Lonchura striata: one gene and its partners. The protein of the gene in region 2 interacts with the protein of the main gene of each other region in a pairwise test. Links are inferred from orthologs where the notes say so. Each region holds a gene or a part of one and is shown on either strand. Other genes may lie near its edges.

Evidence for each region. The genes of interacting proteins can lie anywhere in the genome.
Region 1: the proteins of OTX1 (region 2) and CHIC2 interact in binary tests that used the Homo sapiens proteins (3 or more experiments, as listed by UniProt). The two-hybrid records come from large-scale screens. The link is inferred for Lonchura striata from reciprocal best matches to the Homo sapiens genes OTX1 and CHIC2.
Region 3: the proteins of OTX1 (region 2) and TNS2 interact in binary tests that used the Homo sapiens proteins (3 or more experiments, as listed by UniProt). The two-hybrid records come from large-scale screens. The link is inferred for Lonchura striata from reciprocal best matches to the Homo sapiens genes OTX1 and TNS2.

The regions. Positions count from the first base shown.
Region 1 is NC_134606.1:26,941,583-26,949,552, forward strand, and holds the start of CHIC2 (cysteine-rich hydrophobic domain-containing protein 2), read right to left. Parts: upstream 3,003-7,970; 5' UTR 2,910-3,002; coding exon 2,791-2,909; intron 1-2,790.
Region 2 is NC_134605.1:867,693-875,251, reverse strand, and holds OTX1 (homeobox protein OTX1), read right to left. Parts: upstream 3,014-7,559; coding exon 2,917-3,013; intron 2,406-2,916; coding exon 2,254-2,405; intron 1,607-2,253; coding exon 851-1,606; 3' UTR 45-850; downstream 1-44. UniProt on the Homo sapiens protein: Probably plays a role in the development of the brain and the sense organs. Can bind to the BCD target sequence (BTS): 5'-TCTAATCCC-3'.
Region 3 is NC_134629.1:4,650,038-4,657,131, forward strand, and holds the start of TNS2 (tensin-2), read right to left. Parts: upstream 3,003-7,094; coding exon 2,937-3,002; intron 1,697-2,936; coding exon 1,585-1,696; intron 1,243-1,584; coding exon 1,205-1,242; intron 1,114-1,204; coding exon 1,075-1,113; intron 684-1,074; coding exon 588-683; intron 100-587; coding exon 56-99; intron 1-55. Other genes in the region: EIF4B (eukaryotic translation initiation factor 4B), read right to left, coding at 5,560-5,637, 6,177-6,231, 6,325-6,412, 6,703-6,770. UniProt on the Homo sapiens protein: Tyrosine-protein phosphatase which regulates cell motility, proliferation and muscle-response to insulin. Phosphatase activity is mediated by binding to phosphatidylinositol-3,4,5-triphosphate (PtdIns(3,4,5)P3) via the SH2 domain.

The DNA.
Region 1 (7,970 bases), on a different chromosome or scaffold from region 2:
ATATTTCACAAATCTTAACATGCTTCATGATTCTCACATAGCCCTGTTTTCACTCATGTGTCCTTGATACAGAGCAAGGTTGAAAAATATATTAGCAGACTTCAGTTTAACAATAAAGAAACTTACTTGGGTAAATACATCTTTTCTAAGTTCTTTTTCCCCCTACAAAAAGTTATCTTGCATTAAGATAAAAGGTGCTGTAACAACAGCACAGAAAGGCATTCATCAGCACATCCCAATGGCTCTCCATCATTCCAGCACTGCAGGAATAAATCCAGTATTACCAGTTAACACAGTCTGCTATATATATGATACATGTCTCAACTAGTTGAGGAACAGGAAAACACTCACTATCAGACATCTATCATAAATATTCTCTTCACTATTTCAAATACATCATGTACCTCCATTCCTACCATAATACAGATTTCAGGAACAAGTATGAAACACCTTGGACTTTTAATTCAGTTGTAAGTAAGGATCTCTATTTTCACAGTGCTTTCAAATTTTTTGCCGTAACAAGAGAGAACCTCAAATTTTCAGCAACCAGGTGATGTTACTCCTTTCTACTAAGCTATCAAAACTCTGCTGGTGTGAAAACAGTTTACCCAATTATTTAAAAAACAATGTTAAAAAAAATATTAGCATTGCTGGCAGCCTGCTTCAAACAGTGAGTTTAAGGAGAAAACTTAGTGCTAACCAAAAGCTCCACATCCTCAAGAGGCAAAGACTTATGTTTTATTTGGTTAATATTTAACTGCTTTTCTTTAATTGATTTTAATTACTCAGCTTAGAAAATACTCACTTCCATTCTCTGTTGGGTGAAATCAAGTAATGGTAAATGTCTTTCTGATGTTAATACGTAGTCATGGAATTGACATTTTTCAAACACAACATTATGACTCCTATGTAAGATCAGAAAGGATATGACAACAGACTATGAAAAGAGAGCTTCTGTTTAAATACACACACAGCAGAAGCAGTCAGCAACTCTTCAAACTGCAGAGCCAGGGAGAGATCAACCCAGTATTTGCTTAACTGCTGATCATTTTTGTCAGTCCTTCAGAATGCATGTGTGCTTTTATACTGGCAAGACAAATTCATCACGTACACAGGACTTCACCTATTCCTTATATCTACCAAATGAATGCTATAAAAGAGATCTAACTTTTAATAATAAGCTTCTGGATCAATAACAAAAAAGTTATAGGCTGTACAAAGGTAAAAGTGGACAATGCTATTGATAAATGCTAGTAGTTTACTGTTAACACCTGGCACAGTAAATAAAGTAGATGAAGATCAATTGCCTAATTTTGGAGGCACACTTTGGTATTTCATTGCTCATTCAAAACCTAAAGAACAAAAAGTACTTTAAGGAAGATCTTAAAGTAATAATGAGCTAGTAACTATTAATGAACAATTATCAAGTTAGCCATCCTTCAACCACAAGGCCCTTACTAGTCACAGTCAATGCTTCGAAAGCTTCTCCAACATTCCACTAACGGGTCTTCATCTTGTCTTGCACAACTTACCTTCAAGTCTTAGAGAAGAAACCAGTGTTAGCCTCCATTTCAGTTTGTACTTTTCATTTGCTAATGTGAAAACTATTTGATTGTGGTTTTGCTCAGTTTTTCAGAAACAGACTAAGGCTGCTGCCTTATTTTCAGTGAATCACTGGAACAGCTTTTGTTCACAATAAACAATCATAAGCTCAACACACTGACTACATGCTTCTACTCTTTCACAGGGTCTCCTTGGCCTCCAGCCACATTTGTCTTCTAACTTTTCAAATCTCTCTCAGTCTATCCATAACTTCCTGTTTTTAACTAGACAGCTAACTGCTATCAGCTATTAGCATTTGTGTCAACCTAATAATAAAGCAACAATGCACCCAAGTGCCAAAAAAACTTGTCAGTCAGTATCTGAAAATCAATATAGTTTATGAGACTCAGAGAAGCAGACCACAGTATGTCTTTTATATCTGTACTGCAAACCTAGTACTGCTGAACTCTGAATACAAAATAAACCGAAAGTTTGTACTACTGTGCCTTGTCTCCAGGTTTGTATTTCAGCTTCTGACACTATACATTGTAACTGACAACTACTACACTTCAACGGAGTGAGACTGACAGAACTGATGGAAGGAACAATATCCTCATCTCTTACATTATTGAGAAGTACTACACAAGCTCGTGGTCACTTCCCGCTAGACTCAGATACCAAACACGCACAAAACGAAGTTGCTTCCATGTCAAACACAGTGAAACAACACACACCAACCACCACATAACTTTACACGTAGGTATCTGACTAACTGATGCCTTCTCTTTGTTAAAGTCCTCAGAGGTATATCAGCAGCCACAAGTTAAGTGGGAGTCGGTAAGAGGCACATAAACAACCTTGTTCAACAGTCCAGCCAGTCATGTGCTGGCACATAGCTGTTATACAGAGAACACAGGCACCTTACTTCCTGACAGCTCATCATTTTGGGCAAATACTTCACATTCCTCTGCCAGTCACAGCCCAAGCCAGTCTCGTTTCCTCAGCGCCTACTTAGAGGTTCGCACCTGCCTGCGAGTTTCCTGGCGGCTCGGTGGGGCCGACAAGAGCCCCCTCGCAGCTTCACGGGCGTGGGGGCAGGGCAGCAGCCCCGGCCCGGTGCTCCCCACGCCCACCCCCCGAATTGCCCAAGCTGTGCCCAGGAGCTCGGCGCTCCCGGCCGCCCCCGGCCCGCCGCCCGGGCCTGCCCCGCCGCCCGCCCCGGCCGCGCAGGCCCCGCGCGGCCCTTACACGGTGACATGGCCCGAGCCGCGCACCACCACCGGGTCGGGGGAGTACTTCAGGAGCTGCTCCTCCAGAGCCCGTTCCTCGTCCTCCTCCTCCTCGTAGATTTCATCGAAGTCCGCCATGGCCGGGCCGGGGCGTCCGATGAGCCAGAGGAGCCGGGGCGACGCGACGGGAGCCGGCCAGGGAGGCGGACGGGAGGGGGGCGGCCCGGGGCCGGGCCGGGCCGGGCGGCAGCGGGGCCGCGGCGGCGGCAGCGGCTGAAGCGGCGGCGGCTCCGGGCGGGGACGCGCCCGTCACCCTCCGCGGGGGGAGGGGGCGAGGGGCGGGGCAGGAACAACAACAACAACATCCGGCCGCGGGCCCGCCCCGCTCCCGGCCGGCCGGCGCGTGGGGCGGCGGTGCGGGGAGCGGGCCCTCCCAGGGGCGCGGAACGGCTGCAGCGACCGCGGCGGTCATCGGGTCCAAGCCCTGCTGAAGGGGGTCTGCCTAGGGCACGGGGCAAAGGATTGTGTCCAGACGGTTCCTGAGTATCTCCGGTGAGGGAGACTCCTCAGCCTCTCTGGACAATCTGTTCTGGAGGGTGGTCACCTGCACAGTAAAGAAGTTCTTCCTCCTTCCACACCGCGCTGGAACTTCCTGTGCATGAGATTCTGGCCGTTGTCCCTTTTCCTATTGCTTGGCACCCCTGAGAAGAAGCTGACTCCATCCTCTGACATCCTCTCTGCAGATTCTCATAGATACTGATTAGGTTCCCTCTCAGACATCTCAATGCTGAACAGGCCCAGCTCCCTCAGCCTTTCCTCACAAGAGAGATGCTCCAATCCCTTACTCATCTTTGTTGCCCTCCACTGGACCTGCTCCCAGAGCTCCAAGTCTCTCCTGCCCTGAGGAGCCCAGAACTGGACGCAGCACTCCTGATGCAGCCTCACCAGGGCTGAGCAGAGGGGCAGGATCACCTGCCCTTCCCAATGCAGCCTGGAATACCATTGGCCTTCTTGATCACAAGGTTTTATCCCTTTTCTGAGCATCCATGAAGCCCACGGCACAGGGGGTTGGGGGGTGTATTTGGACATCTGCTGTGAGCTGAGGGGTTGCCCATTGGTCCCTCTGGTTTAGTACATGGAGATGTGGGGAAAGTGGCCCCTGGCCAAGACTGACCTGCTGAAGGCTGAGACCAGGTGTGTGCATGTCCCTTGGTACTGTCAGTTCCTGGATCTGCCATTCCTCTGGCAGCCTTGAATCCTCCGTGGAAAGCATCATGCTTAGGCCACTGTTTGCAGAGGAGACTAACAATGAATTTGCAGAGTAGCAGCCCATTTAGGACTACGTTGATGAATGCTAAGCAGAAAACCCTAAAAATTGCAGGAATTCTTCTCTCTTGGCAGTTTTGGTATTTTTCGTAACCAAAACTTAGAACAAAGACTGGGAAATGCCATTGTGAGCATAATGGCCTTAGCAACAGGTAGGCCATCAGCTCTTGTGACAACAGTGGAAGGCAATGTGACACAGGATATAGCACTAGTAGGATGACATTTTAAAAAGGGGGAGAAGATCTTTTTTATTTGACAGAGTAGATTGTTGGATTGCCTACTTGCAGCAGTAGCTAATATATAATGTCAGAGGGTTCAGCCTGAAACAGTAAAAAAAAAAAAAAAAAGGTAAATCTGGGAATCATAGGAATCATAGAATGCATTTTACAGAAAATATAAAAACTGCATCTTTCCCTCACAGTAAATAATTTTTTGCTATGTCTAATACATGTCCTTGTAGAAAGTCCCTCTTCATCTTTCTTGTAGGCCTTCTTCAGGTATGCAAGGCCACATTCAGGTCACCTGAAAACCTTCTCTTCTCCAGGCTGAACAACCCCAATTCTCTCAGCATTTCTCCACCCCTCTAATCAACTTGGTGGCCCTTCTCTGGACTCGCTCCAGCAGGTCCGTGTCCTTCCTGTATTGCGGACCCCAGAGCTGGATTCAGTGTTCCAGGTGGGGTCTCATGAGAGCAGAGGGACAGAATCCCCTCCCTCCCCTGCTGCCCACGGGGCTCTGGGTGCAGCCCAGGACACGTTTGGGTTTCTGGGCTGTGAGTTCCCATGGCAGGGTCATGTCCAGCCTCTCGCCCACCAGCACCCCCAAGTCTCTCCCAGCAGGGCTGTTCTGGATCTGTTCATCCCCAGCCTGGGTTGGCAGGGGTGGTTGCCCCAACCCAGGTGCAGCATCTTGTACTTGGGCTTGTTAAACATCAGGAGATTCCTATGTACCTATTTCTCATGCTTGTCCAAGTCCTTCTGGATGGAATCCCATCCTCCAGGTGTGTTGACCATTCTTCTCAGCTTAATGTCATCTGCAAATTCACTGGAAGTGTACTAGATCCCTTTGTCTATGCCATTGATGAATATATCAAGCAGTGCTGGTCCCAGTACAGACTCCTGAGGGATATCACTTACCCCCGATGTCCATCGGGAGCTGTTGACCTCCACCTTCTGGATGCAACCATCCAACCACTTTCTTATCCATCTCACAGCCGACCCCTTAATTCCATCTCTCTCCAATTAAGAAAAAAGGATGCTGTGGGCTTTTACAGGCTTTACGGAAGTCCAAATAAATTACATCTGTAGCACTCCCATTGTCCACTTTCGTAAGTGTGAAGGGAATTCTGCATTCCTCTTTATTTTCCTAGTACTTTACATATCTTATTTACAATAGCCTCCTTTTCACATTATAACTTTTCCTTTGAAACCTGCAGCTCTTTTTTCCTGGCTTGTTTCGGTATATCATAGAATCATAGAATGTTTGAGTTGAAAGGGAACTTAAATATCATCCAATCCTCCTGCCATGGGCAGGGAAACTTCCACTAGACCAGATCACTCAGAGACCCATCCAAAGTGCCCTTGAACACTTCAACATCCTCAAAGGAAAGAATTTCTTACTAACATCTAAATCTAAACCTATTGTGCTTCAATTTAAGGCCATTTCCCCTTCTCCTATCATTACAGGCCCCTGTAAAAACTTCCCCTCCAGCCTTTTGTAGGCTCCCTTTAGGTACTGGAGGGCTGCTGTGAGGTCTCCCCAGTGCTTGTCCAGGCTGAAAAACCCCAGCTCTCCCAAAAGAATAAAACCAACCTATTTTCAATGGAGAGGTGCTTGATCCCTCTAGTCATCTTTGTCGCACTCCCCTGAATTCGTTATACTGATTAGTTTATTTTCTGAAAGATTACATTGCCATTTACTCTCCATTACTCATAAAGATCCTCATGGTGTATTTCTCAGGTGTAGAGTGTATATAAAGATGTGGCAATGCTGACTGGGTAAACCAGGGTAGAAACAGTGTGGTTGTGAGAGAATTCATAACACTGGCTTTGCTGCAAAGGAGAAAGCAGCATTTTGTGCTGTCACACTAGAAGTGTGACAGTATTTCTATCATGAGCTACTTGCAACAGGTTTCATTTCCTAAATAACAGAATTCTACAGAATAACACAGAATTCAGCTGAGTAATAATGCACTTTCATACTAGTATGCTTAACTCATGTTTAATGCACTTTTCATACTAGTATGCTTAACTCAAACAAATGTTTGAGTTACCAGATCCCTGTGCTGTGTGGCATGACAAGCTTGGTTAACTCACTTGGTGGATTTGATAAAGAGAAAGAAAGTCTCATGCCTCTCAATCTCAATTTAGGTGTATATTACTTGCCTAACAAATGCTGGTTCCACAGTCCACAGTTTTCAGGTGTTCAGTATGTGGCAGCCTTTAAAAGATAAGGAGCTGTGGTAGGTATAATGTAGAAGTTCTAAGTTTCTAGGCTGAGGTGCCCATGATGCTTCAGCATGTGTTCACAGCACCTGGTGTGCTTGAAGCCTTCAGCACTGGACTCAGCAGTACTGGACCACCCTCAGAGGCTGCAAGGAGACTCATCATTTTGTGCAGCTTGTTCTACCACCTGCACTGAAGAAGGCAGACCTGTCCTTTGTTTCAAGAAGTATCAGTGAGCTGTCACTTCTTCTCCACTGCTGATGTGTCCCTGCTATGTGCCAGCCCTGCCACCAGCCATGTACTTCCAAGTCCATGTTTTTACATCACAGAGTTTGCTTGTGATTATTTTGGTGTCTACTCTGACCCAACACTGTGGGACTCCCACTTACAGTTCATTATCCTTTCTTTGGGAACAGTGAGAGTAATGCCAGGCTGATACTAATTGCATTTTTAAGCAACTTAACTCTCATTATATCTAAATAAAGATATTAGCCTTAGAGTCCAGACTGGGGAGCATTGTGCTGCTGTTCCAGGTAGGAATGCCCTCCCTCCCCAGTGAATTTCCTTACTGCAATAGGGGAGAACTGATACTATGTACAGATCTCTCTAACAGAGGTACTCACTGTTCTCAGAGTTCTCTGTAAGAATTGCATATTGTAATCTAAAGGAGACTTTAAATAATTTCTTTTTTTGCAACTCTTTATTCCAGTTCCCTGTCTTCTGGTTTCTCCTTTTTTTTTTTTTTTTTTTTTTTTTACTTTCCTTCCCTTTATTGTTTCTCCCTCTCCTTTTTTCTATGTTTCTTTCCCAGCTCCCCCTTTGTAATTGCTTCTTTCCCCTGCTTTCCTCTGAGATCTTTCAGTTGTTACTCACCTCATTCCTCCCACAGTCTTTGTCTTGTTTCTCCCTGTCTTTTCCTTGTTAATTAGTACATTGTTGGAACTTCTGAAGGAAATTGTTTCACGCAACAGGGCATCAAAGAACAAGCAGCAGGTGCAGGCGTAACCTTGTTCTTTGAACTCCTACCACTACTCAATAGCAAAGCAAAGCTGGCAGGAACAGCTTCTCTTTCCCTGATTAATTAAGAGAGGTAGCCAGAAGGAAAACAAGAGTGGGTGGTGATAGCAAGGAAAGGGGGCAAGCAGAAGCCAGAGGAGACAAGATAGAAATAACATACACTGCAGAGGGAGTTTAACAAAGCTACAGAACTGTAGCAAATCTCCAAGGGCACTCACATCAGGCTGTGCTTTTCTTAATGACCTGGTCTGCTCTGAGACCTTGTCATCAGTCCCTTCCCTTGACACAGACTCCCTCACCTCTGGGTTGGCTCCTCTGTCCTGCTTAAATGTCATTGCTCATGACAAATCTGGATAAAGTGTATCTGATAATGTACATGTTTCTGCTAATGGTAAAATCAAATAAAATTTTA
Region 2 (7,559 bases):
CCCCAAAAAATAAACCAAAACTTTTTTTTTTTTAGCTTTTTTTTTGTTTGTTTCATTTTATTTTTTTTTTTCCAAAAGTTTTGGGTTTTTTTGGTCTGCAGGTTGCGGATCAGGCGGGCAGCCTTTCCTCCCTCCCCCTTTGCCTCCCTTCTGGACACCTCCCATGGCTGCTTCCATGCCCCCCTCACCCTCAGCCCCAGGACGGCACAGCCAAGCTTGTGCAGAGTCCTTGAGGATGGACGGAGGGCATGAGACCGGGAAAAAATCGTTTTTTTTAGGGAAGAAAATCGAAATTAAAAAAGATTTTTTTTTTTTTTTTTTACGTTCTGTTCCATGTTAGACTCTAGATAAATGCCAACCCAACAGCATCAACTAAAAATAATCGTGGTCACTGGAACGGACCGAGTATTTACATCACTCCCGCCGCTCCCCGCGGCAAGAGGCTGCACAGGACTGGCGAGCCGGGGCTTCCACACCCGCAGGGGCTGAGGGTCCCCGCACAAAGCTGGGGGGGCACTGGCAGGGCAGGAGCCAGCCTGCGCCTCTGCCCGGGGGGCAGCAGGGGACACGCTTGGCTTTTTAATTTTCTTTTCTTTTTTTTTTTTTTTTTAACTCCTCTTCTGTTGCGTTTAAAAAAATAATAATTATAATAAACCTGGTGGAGTGGTGCAGGAAGCAAATAAATATCAGTCAGTAGAGATGGGGGCGGCAGGACCTCCCCAGGACATCGCCACTGCTAACGAAGAGGGAGGAGGAGGAGGAGGAAGAGCCCAGAGTCCTGCCCGGGAGGCGGTGGGGAGTCCCCGCGTGGGGGACCAGCGGCAGCTTCGGGGGGATGGTGGCCGGTCCCTCACAAGACCTGGAAGCGCCAGGACGCCTGGTCCTTGTAGTCAAGGCAGTCGGGGGAGTTGAAGTTGAGCTTCCAGGAGGCGGCGGCGGCGGCGGGCTCCTTGTAGTCCAGGCAGTCGGAGGAGTTGAAGGGCAGCCCCGTGCCGCCGTAGCCTTGGTGGTGGTGGTGGTGGTGGTGATGGTGGTGGTGGCCCGAGCTCTGGCTCAGCGGGTGGTGGTGGTGGTGGCCCGGCACCGAGGAGGGCCCCATGGGGCTGAGCTGGTGGGGATGGTGGTGGGAGTGCATGGGCGCCAGGTAGGAGCTGCAATCCACGCCCCCGAAGTAGGACGAGGAGGGCGGCGCGGGGTAGCCCTGGCCGTAGCCGCCGCCCTGGCTGTAGGACACGGGGTAGGAGGCGGAGGCGGCCGAGGCGGCGGGGCCGGCCCGCTGCATGCAGGAGGCGGCGGCCGGCGGCAGCGGCTCGGGCACCGTCACCCCCGCGGGCGCCGCGCCCGGGGAGATGGAAGCGGGGCTCCAGATGGATGACGCCGGCGTGCTGAGAGAGGCCGGGGCGCCCACCGGCGCCGAGGAGGCCGAGCTGGAGGAGGAAGACGAGGCGGAGCTGGAGGCCGCTGCCGGCGGCGTGAACTGCCCGCTGCTCTCCGAGCCCGAGCTCTCCCGGGCGGGCGAGGATTTCTTCTTGGCCGGGCGGCTCTTGGCCCCGCCGCCGCTCTGCTGCTGCTGCCGGCACTTGGCGCGGCGGTTCTTGAACCAGACCTGCAGGGACAAAACGGGGCGCAGGGGAGCAAGGAGCACGGTGGGGTGAGCGAACAGCCCCGAAGGGCCTCCTCGGCCAACCACCCTCAGCCTGGCACCAGTTCTCCCGGTACCACTAACGCTGCGCACCCCTCACACCCCTAAATACAATCCCACATCCCACCCCTGCCCGGCAACCCGGGCACCCCACAGCCTGCCAAAAGCAAGGGTGGCCAGGGTCAAAGTCTGTGGTGTCCCAGCTCGTGCATATCCCTGGCACAGTGACAAAATATGGATTTGGGGGACAGATCCTGTGTTGGGGGCTGCCTGCATATCCTGCCCTCCTGGGTATCCACTGAGCAGTGCCCAAAGGGAATTCCTCTGGGAAGCACCCAGCTGGTAGGGCTGCTATACCCTGGAGCAGGTGGACGGTGACAGAAAATATATTAATAAAAATAATACAAGAGAATAAAAAATAAACGCTCCCTCTTTGGCTGAATGTGCCCACAGTGGGACAGACGAGCAGATGGGAGCCCACACACATCCCCATCCCAAGGAAAGAGGATGAGTGTGGATGGAGCAGCCGGTCTGAGCAGCGCCAGCTGAGCTGGGGTGGTCCTGCATCCCCATCCCACAGCGGTGCAGGATTCCCCCCGCAGGCCCGGTACCTGGACTCGGGATTCGGGCAGGTTGATCTTCAGGGCGACCTCCTCCCGCATGAAGATGTCCGGGTAGCGGGTCTTGGCAAAGAGCGCCTCCAGCACGTCCAGCTGCGAGCGGGTGAAGGTGGTGCGCTCCCGCCGCTGCTTCCGCGGGGTGGCTGCGGGAGGAGCACCACCACGGGGGTCACGCCGGGCCCCCCCGCACCTCCCGCACGCCCCGGCACGGGGGAGCCCCGGCGTCCCCGGGACAAGGGCTGGAGGCGCTCCCGAAGAGCGGCAGCGTCCCCGCACACCCCCGGCTGCCGCAGCGCGTCCCGCTGCCGGCAGGGCGAGGGGCGCAGGGCTGGGCAAGGGTCAGGCCTGGCTCCAGAGGGAGCCACGGCGAGATTTCGTTGTGTCGAAATTAATTACTTTTTTGTGTTGTTATTGTTCAATCTGAAAGTTTTTTATCCTTAAAAATCCCTGGGAAAACGAAGACATCCCGGGAGCAGGGGGAAAATCCAGCTAGACCCCAATGTCCCCAGGCAGGGGTGCAGGCAAACAACCAGCCCACCACCCACCCTGAGCCGTGCGGCCCCACCAGCTCCTCCAAACCCGCACGGATGGAAGTTTTCCCCCTCCGCTGGCTGGAGGGTGGGGGACTGGGGGGCCGCGGTGCGCGGCACTCACCCGGATACCCCACGGAGGGATGCAGCAGGTCCATGGCCGGGCCCGTCAGCCCCAGCCCGTTCATGCCGTAAGGGGGCTGTTTGAGGTAAGACATCATGCTAGAAGCCGGGCAGTTTTCCTCCAAAGTCCAGCAGGAAAAAAAAAATCAAAAATCAAATCGAATGTATGCGGTGGGGAAGGGGGAAATGAAAGAAAAAAAAAAAAAAAAACTGACAAAAAGAGCCCCCGAAAAAATCCCCAAATAAGAGACCAAAAAAAAAAAAAAATTAAAGCCAACGACAATTTTAAAACGGAGCACAAAGTCGGCGTGAAAAGAGTTTTTTTCGTTCAGTCCTGCCGTCACCGCCACGAGGTCCTCGAGAGATAGCAGGTGAAGTGAGAGAAAAATAAAAACGAAGGGGAAAAATAAAATCAAAATAACAACGAGGATCGAGAAGCAGGCGGATTTCTTCCCCGCGCAGAGGCGAGGCCGGAGCGCCTGGGGAGAGAGCGGAGAGAAGCGGGTGAGGCTTCGGCCGCCCGGGGCTCCCGCGGGGCTGCGCCCGCCCGGCGCGGGGGCTCCGCGCGGGCGGCTTCCGATTGTTAATTTTATTATTATTTTATTTTAAACGAAGGCGAGTCGCGCGCAAGTGCCGAGAGGCAACAGTGCCCGGCGATCGGGACAGATAAAGCAATTATTTAAAAAGATAATTGGATTAGGAATCAAAAGGAGGTATCAGAGGAGGGAAGTATAATTAATTTAAAAGCGAGCAGACGGGGACGTTTTAATTAGAAATGGATAAGAGTTAAAAAGGGGAAAAGGAAAAAAGAGCGCGCCGGCAGCCGAGCGGCGACAGCGCGGGCAGCCGGGACGGGCCGGCGGGGGACGCGGCACCGGAGACCCGGCAGCGCCCGGCCCGGGGCAAAATGCCGCGGATACCCGCGCAGGGGAGGAAGGAGCCGAGAGACCCCGGGCGGCCCCGTCGAGCCCCGGGGGCAGCCCCCGCTCTCTGACACGACTCCCCCCAGCCGGGGCGATGGGGCACCCGGGCCGCGGGGCGGGGGATGCCGGGCGGGGGTCGCGGGGCCCCCCGTAGGCCGGCGCCGGGCGCAGGTCGGGTGGCGGAGCCGGGACCCGGCGTTGCATAACTTTGTCGGGGACGCGGCGGAGCGGGCCCGTCCCGGCAGGAGAGAACGGGGAAGAGGAGGAGAATAAAAGTGAAGAGAAGAGAGGGAAGGAAAAAAAAAAAAATCCCGAGGCAGCCCCGGCCCGGCCGCCCTCACCACCCCTGCCCACGGCGCCGCGGGCCCGCTACGCTCCGTCCCGGCGCCGCCGCCCGCCCCGTCGGTGAGCGCGGTGCCCACCGCCCCCGCCCGCCTCACCTGCGCGGCCACCTGCGGAGCGACTGAGCGCCCGCCCGGCGGCCGCGGCGGGGGCTGCGCGGGGCAGCGCGGGGCGGAGCGGGCGGGGGGCGCGGAGGGGGCGCGGCGGGGGAGGGAGCGAGGGGGGCAGGCAGGTGAGAGGCGGGCTGGGGAGGGGGCCGGGGGGGCGCTGCCCGGGGCCGAGCCGCGCACCCCCGACTTGTCGGGGTACCCCGCGTTACCTTGCCGGCGGCCCGCGCTGTCGGGGCGATGGAGCCGCGGCCCTGATGAGGATTGATCACCTACCCCCGGCCCTACCCTTGTATGTGCGCGCAAAGCAACTGCGTAACCAGCCCGGCGCCAATCCCCGGCCGCTCCCCGCCTGACTGACAGCCGCCCGGGCAATGGCAGCGCGGGGCGACGGCTCCTCCGCACCGCCCCGCGCCGCTCCGCGCTCCCCCGCGCACCGGCCCCGGCGCCGCGGAGAGCCGGCCGGCGGAGCGAGGGGTGCAGGGGGCGGGCACGCGGGGCCCGCGCAACCTCCGCGGAGAGGGAGGGTGGTGGGAATTGTTGGAGAAGTGCGGAAGAGGGAGGGCCGCTCCGCGCCCGCGCAGCTCTGCCCCCTCCCTCCCTCGGGATGCCCCCCGCGCCGCTCCGCGCCGTCCTCCGCGTCCCTGCCGCCCGGGGAGACCGCAGAAAAACTTTCGGCCGCCGCCTCCGCCGGCACGGAGGGCGCTCCTGGGGAGGGGAGGCGGTGTCGCGGCCCCCCCACCCCGCTGCCCGCAGGCTCTCGCAAACTTTGTGCTTTAAAATCGCAATAAAACTACACCGACCGCACCTTTCCTCGCGTGTCCCGAATTTAGGGGCTGCTACGCGCCGTGGGGGCCGAGCGGGCGGGGGCCGCGCGGGAGCGGCGGGCAGAGGGGCGAGGTGACCCCGGGCCCTCCGCGCCGCTCCGCGGGGCTCCGCTCCTCGCTCCGGGCGGCGGGGTCGGGGCGCGGCGGGCGGCGGAGCGGCCCCGGACCTCTACAGAGGCTCCGGTGCGCGGCTTTTGTTGGTCTCCCCAAATCAACTCCCCCTAATTGCAGTGGAGCTGAAAGCGAGCTAATGTTCAAAGGCGCTGCCCGCCGGCCCCGATCGGAGCGCGGTCTCCCGGGGAAAAGACTTTCCCCCCATTTTATTTTGTTGTTGTTGGAGTTTTTTCCCCTTCTTTTCAATTCTTTTTCCTGTGCGAGGAGGGAACCGTCTAAGCCGGGCGAGAGGGAGCCGATGGAGGAGGTTAGCAAGCTCCTTCGCTCTCCCGCAAAAGTCAGCGACACGGGCACTTCTCCCCGTAACAAAGGCGCCGCGGCCCATTCACAAAAAAACGCAAAGGCAGGAGGAGGGCGCAGGAAGAGTTTGCGGGGGCAGTTCTCCCCCCTTCCAGCCCCTCTCCCCCGTTTTGCCCCGGTCCTGCCGGGGCAGTTCCTGGCTCGGGCTGCGCTCCCCCCGCCCCCCGCCGCCTTCCCATCACTTGGCCCCGCCGGGGCAGCCCCGGTCCTGGCGGGCAGCGGCCCCCCCGAGGCTTCCCCCCACACACACCAGGGGGTACCCATGCCCCCCCAAGCCTCCCGCAGCTCCCGCGGTTGCCCAACCCCAATTGCGGACGCCTCCCCGCAGGCTCGGCCGGGGGCTGCGGGCAGGGCGGGCGCGGGGCTCGCCACCCCCCCGAGGTGACGGTCCCGGCGACTCCGATCCCCCGTTCCCTCCGCCGGACGGAGCCGGCGCCCTCCCCGCTGCGCCCAGGTAAGGTCGGCGGCGGGGCGGGAGCTGCGGGCGGGCAGGGGCCGGGCTGCGCGACCCCGGCCCGGCGAAGGGCAGAGTTCGGTCCGGCGGCGGGGCGGGGGCTTCCTGCGGCCCGCTTGCCGGGCTGGGGGCGAAGGACGGGGGACACACGCACTTATTTTGCCTTCAGCCCACCGAGTGACTTTTTTCGCTTTAAAAGCGAGGCAAACACCGGCCTCCCCAGGAGGAGAGGATGCCCGCCCGCGGCCCCCCTCGCCCCAGGAGCAGCCCCACGCTTCGGGGCTCAGCGGCTCCCGGCGGGGCAGCAGCGCCGGGGGCTTTGCCGCCTCTCCCCTCCCGAGCCTCCGCAGCCGCGGAGCCCTCAGAGCGCGTTCCCTGCCGTCCCCAGCTCCTGTATTTGTACGGGAGGGCAGAAGAGCACGGCGGAGCCCGCTGCCCCAGCCCACCCCGGCGCCGGTGCGTTCCGCACATCTCCCCAGACTTCGCATGGGGCCAAATCCACCTGCGGGCCCCGGGGCAGCCCCCAGTTCCCCAGGCCGTGCATCCCGCGGCACCGGCGGCCGCTCGCACGAAACCGGGAGCTTCCCTCCTCCACGGGGGACTTCTTTTGGCGAGAGCGGCGGGGCGCAGCGCGGAGCGGGCCGCGGTCGCGCCCGGAGCCGCCGGCGCTGCTGCGGTGCCTCGCCCGCTCCCCGCGGGTGCGCTCCTTGCGCGCATCCCCCACGCCGCTGGCGGGCGGCATCGGCCCAGCGGAGAAAAGTTTTACCTCCCCCTCCCCGAGTTTCATTTTATTAAAATCCAACGAAAAACTTTTCCGTCCGGTGGGTTTCGTTGCGTTGGCGAAGCGGCGGCGTTCGGGGCGGCCCGGGGCGCGGAGCCCCGCTGCTCCCCCCGCGGGGATCGGGCCCCTCCCGCCCCCCGAGCCCCCTCCCCGGCCGACTGAAGGCGGGCGGGGTGAAGGGAGTTTCCCAGGTAAAGAGGAAAGCGGCAGTTACGGTAAGAAAGATTCGGGTTTTATTGAAAATTTTATATATGACTCGGTGTTGTAATAAATAAACGAGACGAGCTCCACGAAGGGACGATGCGAGCGCGGGACACGCTTGGGGGCACACGGACGGGGCGGGGTGCGGTGGGGAACGCGGCCGGGCGCAATAAATAACGCGGAGCGGGCGGCGCGGGCCGGCCCGGCCCGGTCCGAGGGAGGACGCGGCTGGCAAGTGTCGCGCTGTCCTGGGCCGGGCCGGTCTCTGCCCCGGGCTGCCCCACTCCGCTCGCAGCCGCTCCCAGGGTCTTGTGCCAGCGCTTGGGGGAGAAGCCCCCCGAGTAAACCAGAGCAGCTCGGCTCTACTCTCGGGGAAATGTAAAACTGATGTAATAAACCACTGGTAAATACAGCACATTTTTAATAATAACTGGGGTGGATCTGACCTAACTATAAAATGTAGGTAGCTTATTAAGTATTACATATGGCAGGACTAGATGAAACCATTCCCAATGATTTTTTTTTTCCTATATCC
Region 3 (7,094 bases), on a different chromosome or scaffold from region 2:
CCCCAGCACCCCAAAACCTCCAAATTCCCCCCTCAGCACCCCCAAACTCCCGTACCTGGGCAGGGTGCTCCGCTGGGGGGCGCTGTCGAGCGAGGAGCCCTGGAGGGTCCCGGAGGAGCCCCAAAAACGAGGGGGGGCAAAAGGGGGTCGTGGGGCACCCAAAACATGGGGGAGCTAAGGGCTGTCCCCAAACACGGGGGCGGAGAAGGGGCCAAGGCAGGCGGGGTCAGGGGGGGTCCCCAAAACTGGGAGAGGTCGAGGGAGTCAAGGGAGGGGCGGGGGCAGTTGGGAGGTCCCCGGAACACCCGCGTGGGGTCAAGGGGAGGGGCAGGGAAGTGCCCAAAACATGAGGGGGGTCGGGAGGGGGTCTGGGGGGTTCATAAGGGGTCAGGGACGGGTGGGGGGGGGCAAGGGGGGGTGTCAGAGGGGTCCCCAAAACACCGCAGAGTCATGAGGATGTCGGGAGGGGGAATCGGGGGGTCTCCAAATCCTGGGGAGGATCAGGGGGGTTTTGGGAGTCCCGGGGGGGAGGTTTAGGGGGGTCCTGGGAGGGGGGTTGGGGATTCCCGGGGGAGGTTAGGGATCACGGGGAGGGGTGGGGTGTCAGTGAGTCGAGGGGGTTTTGGGGGTTTCGGGGGTCTCACCACGCGCTCGCTGCGCCGCACCGGAGCCGTGTTCCGCCTCTGGAAGGACACGGCGGGGTCTGAGGGGGGGCCCGACCACCGGGGATGGGGCCTGCCCGGCGGGGTTTGGAGTCCCGAGGGGGATTTGCGGGGTTCAGGGTCCAGGGAGAATATCGGGGGTACCGGATCCTGACATGGGTGTTTAGGGGTCCCGAGGGGGGGGTCCCGTCTCCTGCTCGGGGCGGGCTTGGGATGGTTTCAGCCCTTCCGTGGGGTCCCTGATCCTGCCCGGGGAGTTTGGGGGTCCCGAGGGGAGCTCAGAGGGTCCTGCCCGGGGGTGCCTCGGGAGTTCGGGTCATGCCCGAGGGGTTTGGGGGTCTCGAGGGGGATTTGAGGGGTCTCGGGTCCTGCCCGGCGGCTCTGGGGAGGTCGCGCCCCCCCCCCCACTCACCAGCTCCGGTGGGGGCAGAGGTTGGCACGGTGACGTCACCTGGAGGAGGACACGGGGATCATCCCAAATGGACCCCAGCCCCAAATGGGCCCCCCCCGCCCTTGGGTGACGTCCCCGCCCCACGTCGTACCTTGCTCTCACATCTCTTGTGCGCGGCGACTTTGCAAACTGGGAGGGACAACGGCGACATCAGAAACCCCCAGGGTCCCCTCAGGGTTTCCCCAGCGTCCCCCCAGGGCCCCAAATACACCCCCATACCCTCCCGCTGCCCCCAACAACCTCCCAGTATTCCCAGTAACCGCTCACTGCCTCCAGTGACCAATTCAGTGACCCCGGTAACCGCCCAAGTAACCCCCCAATGCTCCCAGTGACTTCCCAGTGCCCTCCCAGCGCCCCCAGTACCTCCACTGGCCCCAGTAACCTCCCAGTCCCAACCCCACTGTCCCCAGTACCCCCTCCCCACCCCATCCAGCCCCTCCCTATGTCCCGGGACTGTCCCGGGGGTGTCACCTCTGCACACGAGCCCGTGGGGTCCCAGGGGGGTCCCGCAGCCCCCACAGGGCGCCCCCCGGCGCAGGCTCCGCTCGCGGAACGCGTGGGGGGCGGCTGGGGACGGCCTCGGCTGGGGAGACACGGGGCGGTCACCGCCTGTCCCCTCCATGTCCTCCCCGATGTCACCTCTCGTTTCCCCTCCATGTCCCCTCGTGTCACCCTCTGTGTTTCTTTTGTGAACCCCCCCCTGGCCTCCCCGGGTCCCCTCAGTGACCCCCCTGTGTACCGGCCCCAGTCCCACCCAGTTCTCATCGCGTCACCTCCGTGTCCCCTCATGTCACCCCCCTGTATACAGCAGTCCTCCTCTGGTCCCCTCATGCGTCCTCAGGTGTCAGTCGGTGTCACCCGTGTCCCTCCTTGTGTCCCTCCATGTTCCCTCCATGACTTCTCACTGACCGCGTCTCCTCCGTGTCACCCGTGTCCCTCCATGACGCCACGCGTGTCCCCGCATGTGTCCCTATCATGTCCCCCTCTTGTCACCCGCAGTATTCCCCTGTGTCCCCCTCCCCGTCCTCCCCTGTGTCCCCTGTATCCCCTCTCGGATCCCACTCCTGTCCCCCCCATGTCGTCCCTGCGTCACCTCCGTGCTCTCCCATGGCACCGCTGTGTCCTACATGTCACTCCCCGTGCCACCCCCGTGTCCCCCAAGTAACTCCCCCACGTCCCCCGTGTCCCCTCGTCTCTCCCCGCTTGTCCCTCCCGTAACTCCTCGTCGCTCCCGTGTCAGCCCCACTCCCACTTGTGCCTCCCCGTGTCCCCCACCTCGTGTCGTCCCGCGTGTCCCCCCCGTGTCCCCCCCGGCCCCTCTGGCCTCCGGCCACGGACATCGAGTCCCGCAGGAAGCGGGCAGGGACAAGCCCGGGAAGTGGCGACCCCTGGGACGACCCCGCCGTTCCCACGGAGGGGGAGGGGCGTGGGAGTCTGTGCGGGGGGAGGGGGCACGGTGGGGGACGCGGGAAAAACGGGGAAAAGTGGGAAAATGGGGGAAAAGGGGAAAGTGGAGGCGAGGGGTGAGCATGAGAAAACATGGGGAGGGGCGGCGAGGGGGGGGAGGAGGGTCAGACTCGACTTCCCCCCCCCGGTCACCCAGCGTCACGCGTGGGTAGGGGGCGGCTGGAGCGGACAGCGGGGGAACCCCGCGGGGGCGCCACGGGGGGGTTCCCCCGCTTTTGCCCCCGCACCCAGCCCTCGCTTCCCCACGGGGGGTCCCCACCCTACGCGGGACCCCCATGAAGCGGTACGCGGAATAAACAGACTCCCCCAAAACCTCCGTTTCACCCACCCTCACCGGGACCTTGCCCCGGTCCTACCGTGTCGGGGCCATCGCGGCGGCCAAGCGCGCGCAGAAGCGTTCCCACGGCCCCGGGGGGCTTCATGGGGGGGCTCCGCGGGGACCTCGGGGGGTCCCAGGCGCTCCCGGGGGGCGTCTCGGGGCTGCCCGTGGGTGCCGCGAGCGGCTCCGTGGCCGAAGGCGCGCGGGGAGGGGCCGTTTCCGCGAGCCCGGAGCCGCTTCCCGTGCCGGGGGGGGACACGGACACGGGGGGGACACGGGCGGGACGACACGGGAGCGACACGTCTGGCCACGGGGAGGGGACACCAGGAGGGACATACGGGAGACAAGGAGGCGACACGGGGGACACGGAGAAGACACACGGGGCGGACACGGAGGGGACACGGCACGGGACACCGGGAGGATCACAGGGGAGACAAGGAGAGGGACACACGGGGGACACACGGAATGACACCGCCCCCTGCCGACCATGCCTCAGTTTCCCCGTCTCATTTCCAGGATCCCCCAAAATTCCTCCCGAGTCCCCCGACGGTTTCCTGGAGCTGCCCCCGCCCCCTCTTCATCCTCCTCCTCCCACCGCCCCCTCGCTAACCCGCGCCGCGGCCCCCCAGGACCCCCAAACTCGGGGAAAAAGGGGGGGTTGGACCCACCCCATGGGGTCCCCCAAAATCAAGGAGAAGGGGGAAGCTGAGACCCCCCCGCCACGAGACCTGCAGATTCATTGGGAAAGGGGATCCTCAGCCCATGGTACCCCCAAACTCGGGGCGGGGATGTTGGTTTGGAGGGGCTCGAGGGACCCCACACAATCCCGGGATGGGGTCCCCAGGGAGTGCAGGGACCCCAAACTCCTCCCTTGTGAGACTCCTGGGGGGGAAGCTCGTTTCAAGGGGAAGAATTGGGGTAGAGGGGGTTTTGGGGGGCGTTGGGGTGGGGGTTATTGAAGTTTTGGGTTGCAGGGGAGGAATCAGGGTGCAAGGAGGGTTTTGGGGTGCAGGGCTGGTTTGGGGTGTGGGTTATTGTGCAGGGGGGGTTGCGGTGCAGGGAGAGAATTTGGGTTCAGCAGGGGAATTGGGGAAGAGGTTTTTGGGGTGCAGGGAGAGGATTTGGGTTTGAGGGACTTGAGGTGTGTAGAGGGGATTGAGGGGCCTGATAGGTCCCCTCCCGGTTGGGGTTGTCAGGGTCCCCTTCTCCCGGCCCTTGGGGTCCTCCCCCCTCACCCTGGCCAGGACAGACCCCCCTTTGTGGGGCCGGAGCCGCCCCGGGGGGGGCCGCATTCCAGCGGTGGGGGAGGCGGGTTCCAGCATTCCAGCGGTTGGGAAGAGCCGGGAAAGAGGAAGGGCGGGGGGTAGGGGGTGGGATCCCGGGGCTCGGTGATGTGCCTGCATCCCCAATTAATTACCCCAAATTAATTACCGTTAATCAGCGGAGGGTGGAGGAAGAGTAAGAATGGAAGGATGCAGAGAAGAATCAGAATGAAGGTGAAGGAAAAATTAAAAAGGAGGAGGAAGAGGATGAAGAAATAGGGATGAGGAGGAAGAAGATGGAAGGAGGAAGGAGAAGGAACAATGAGAGGAAGGACAGAGAAGAAGAAAAAAGGAGAGGAAGAAAATGAGGTGGAAAAAGGAAGGAGAAGGGGAAGCAGGAGATGCAATGATAGAGGAGGAGGAAGTGAAGAAGTGAGGAAGTGGAAGAGGAAGAGGAGAAAGAGCAAGAGGATGGAAGGAAGGAGGAACATGAAGAAGGAGGAAAGGCAGTAAGAAAGGAATGAAGGATGAGGAAGGAGAAAAGATGGAATGAAGAAGGGATGCAAGAAAGAAAAAGGAAGCCCAGAGAGAGGAAGGCCAATGTCGGGACAGGAAATTCCCCCTGGAGGGCTTTGGGAACTGCCCTGTTCCCCTTCAAGGTGAAGAGGAGAAGGGCAGAAAGATCTGGGGCCTTTCTGGATCTTTTTCAGCTCATTTTATTGGAGAAAACAAAACAGCCCCCAACCTGGGGGAGAACCCCAAAACGCCCCCCTGGGGACCCCAAAACTCCCCCAGGACCTCCCAAAACCTCTGGGAAGGTTCTTTTTACACAATTTTACAGCCCACCCCAAATCCCAAAATCTCGGAGTATCTTGAGGTTCTGGGGTGGAAATTCAGGTTTTCCTGTGTAAAGGGTGGGATTTGCATCCCAAAAATTGGGTGGGGGAATTGGAGGGGCACCTGTGAGCAGGAGGATGATGAAGGTGCCCAGGGGGAAATCAACATTCCAGAGGTGAGGAAAAAGGGGGGCAGAGGGGGATCCCAGACCCCGGAGGATTTGGGGGGGATTGGTTGCCTCCCTATCCCTGTTTTGGAGGGGCTCCAGTGAGGATGAAGGCCAGCTCTTCCTCACCCCTTATTCCATGGAAAACAAGGAGGGAGGAGCTGCTTTTCTTTCAAGAAAACTCTTGGAATTACCCCTCCCGCTCCCTGTGCTGATTTTGGGGTGATTCCCGTGCGTTCTGTGTGGGGTTGTTTTCAGGATTTAAGAAGCTGTAGCTGAGGGAATTGATGAGTTTTAGGCTTTATTTCTGTCTCGCCTGGATCAAGGTTGGGATTTTTGGGAATCTCCAGAGGTTCCTGCAGCAGCTGAGGAGGAGGAAGAGGGGGAGGAAGTTTCTACTCAGCTCCTTCTTCATCATCACCTTCATCCTCCCCATCCATAGAGAGCGCGGCGTATTTGCTGGCATGGCTGAACTGCGGGGAAAACCAGGAAAAATTCCCAAAAATGGGAATTGAGGGGGATAAATATCCTCAGGAGCTCACACATCCCAAAACCAGGGGGTCACAGCCCCTCAGAAAGGGTCAGAGAAATCCCAAAATTGCCAGGGTGTTTGAGCTGGGAGGGCCAGGGGGGTGTCACTGTTGAAAAAAAACAACTCCCAAAGCTCCCAAAAAAACAAGATTTGAAGGGGATGAAAACCCCCAGGGGGTCATGCACGCCAAAAAGAGGGGTTCACAGCCCTCCCCCAGGGAGTTTCAGACTGTTCAAGGCTGAACTGTGAAGGTGGGCAGAGGGAGAGGGGCAGTGAAGCAGAAAATTCCCAAAATACCCCAAAAAATGAGATTTGAGGGGTTGAAGTCCCCTGGGGGTTCACTCACCCCGAACAGGAGTTACAGCCCTCCCTGTTAACTGGAGGCATAGGGCATCAGTTATGGTGAAAATTCCCCAAAACCCCCCAAACCCGGGATTTGAGGGGGGTCCCTCCCCTGTTCTGGGTGCCCCAGATCCTTACGGAGGGGGGGGTCTCCTCCAGTTTCTTTGGCTCGTGCTCCTTCCGGGGGTCCCTCCTGAGGAACAGAGGTCAGAGGTCAATGCCCGGGGAAATTCCCGGTGCCCGGGGGGGTTTCCCGGCTCCGGAGGGGGCTCTGGGAGGGTCTCACCTCTCAGGGTCCCCCATTCCCGTGGGGCCGCGGCTGCAGCTCCGGCCCTTGGAGCTGCTCTCCCGACCCCCCTCCGGCTTCAGCTCCTCTGCAGGGAAAGGGTCGGGGGGTTACAGCCCCAAAACCCCCTGAACCCCCCAGCAAGGCCTCAACATCCCTGGAACCCCCTGAACCCCTTTAAACTCCCCCACAAAACTCCTCAACCCTCCCAGATCCCCTGATACCAACCTCCCCCTGAGCCCCCTGGAAAGCCCTGAGCTCCTCCAAAATTCCCCAAACACCCCATTAACACCCTCTGAGCCCCACAAGTGCTCCCAAGACTTCCCAAATCCCCAAAACCCACCCCAAGCTTTCCCAGTCCCTTCCTCCTAGTCTTACCTCTCCTCTGGGGGGTCCTGGGGGGGCCCCCATCATCTCCAGGGGGGGAGGGGCCAGGGGAGCCCCCACTGGGGAGAGAGAAAATGGGGGGAAAGGGCATCAGGAGGGTCCCTGGAATGGCCCCATTCCTAGGAATGGTGGAATGGGGCATGTGAATGTTGGGATAGGGCCTAGGAATATTGGGATGGGGCACTGGAATATCCCTAGGCCCTGGGAATGTCAGGATGGGGCGCAGGAACATCCCTGAGCCATAGGAAATTTGGAATCGGGCACAAGAATGCTGGGATGGAGCTCAGGAACAACCTGAGAATGGTGGAAGGGGGCACAGGAAGGTTGGGATGAGCAGAAGAGCCTCCATGGGCTGGAGTGTTGGCATGGCCACAGAACACTGG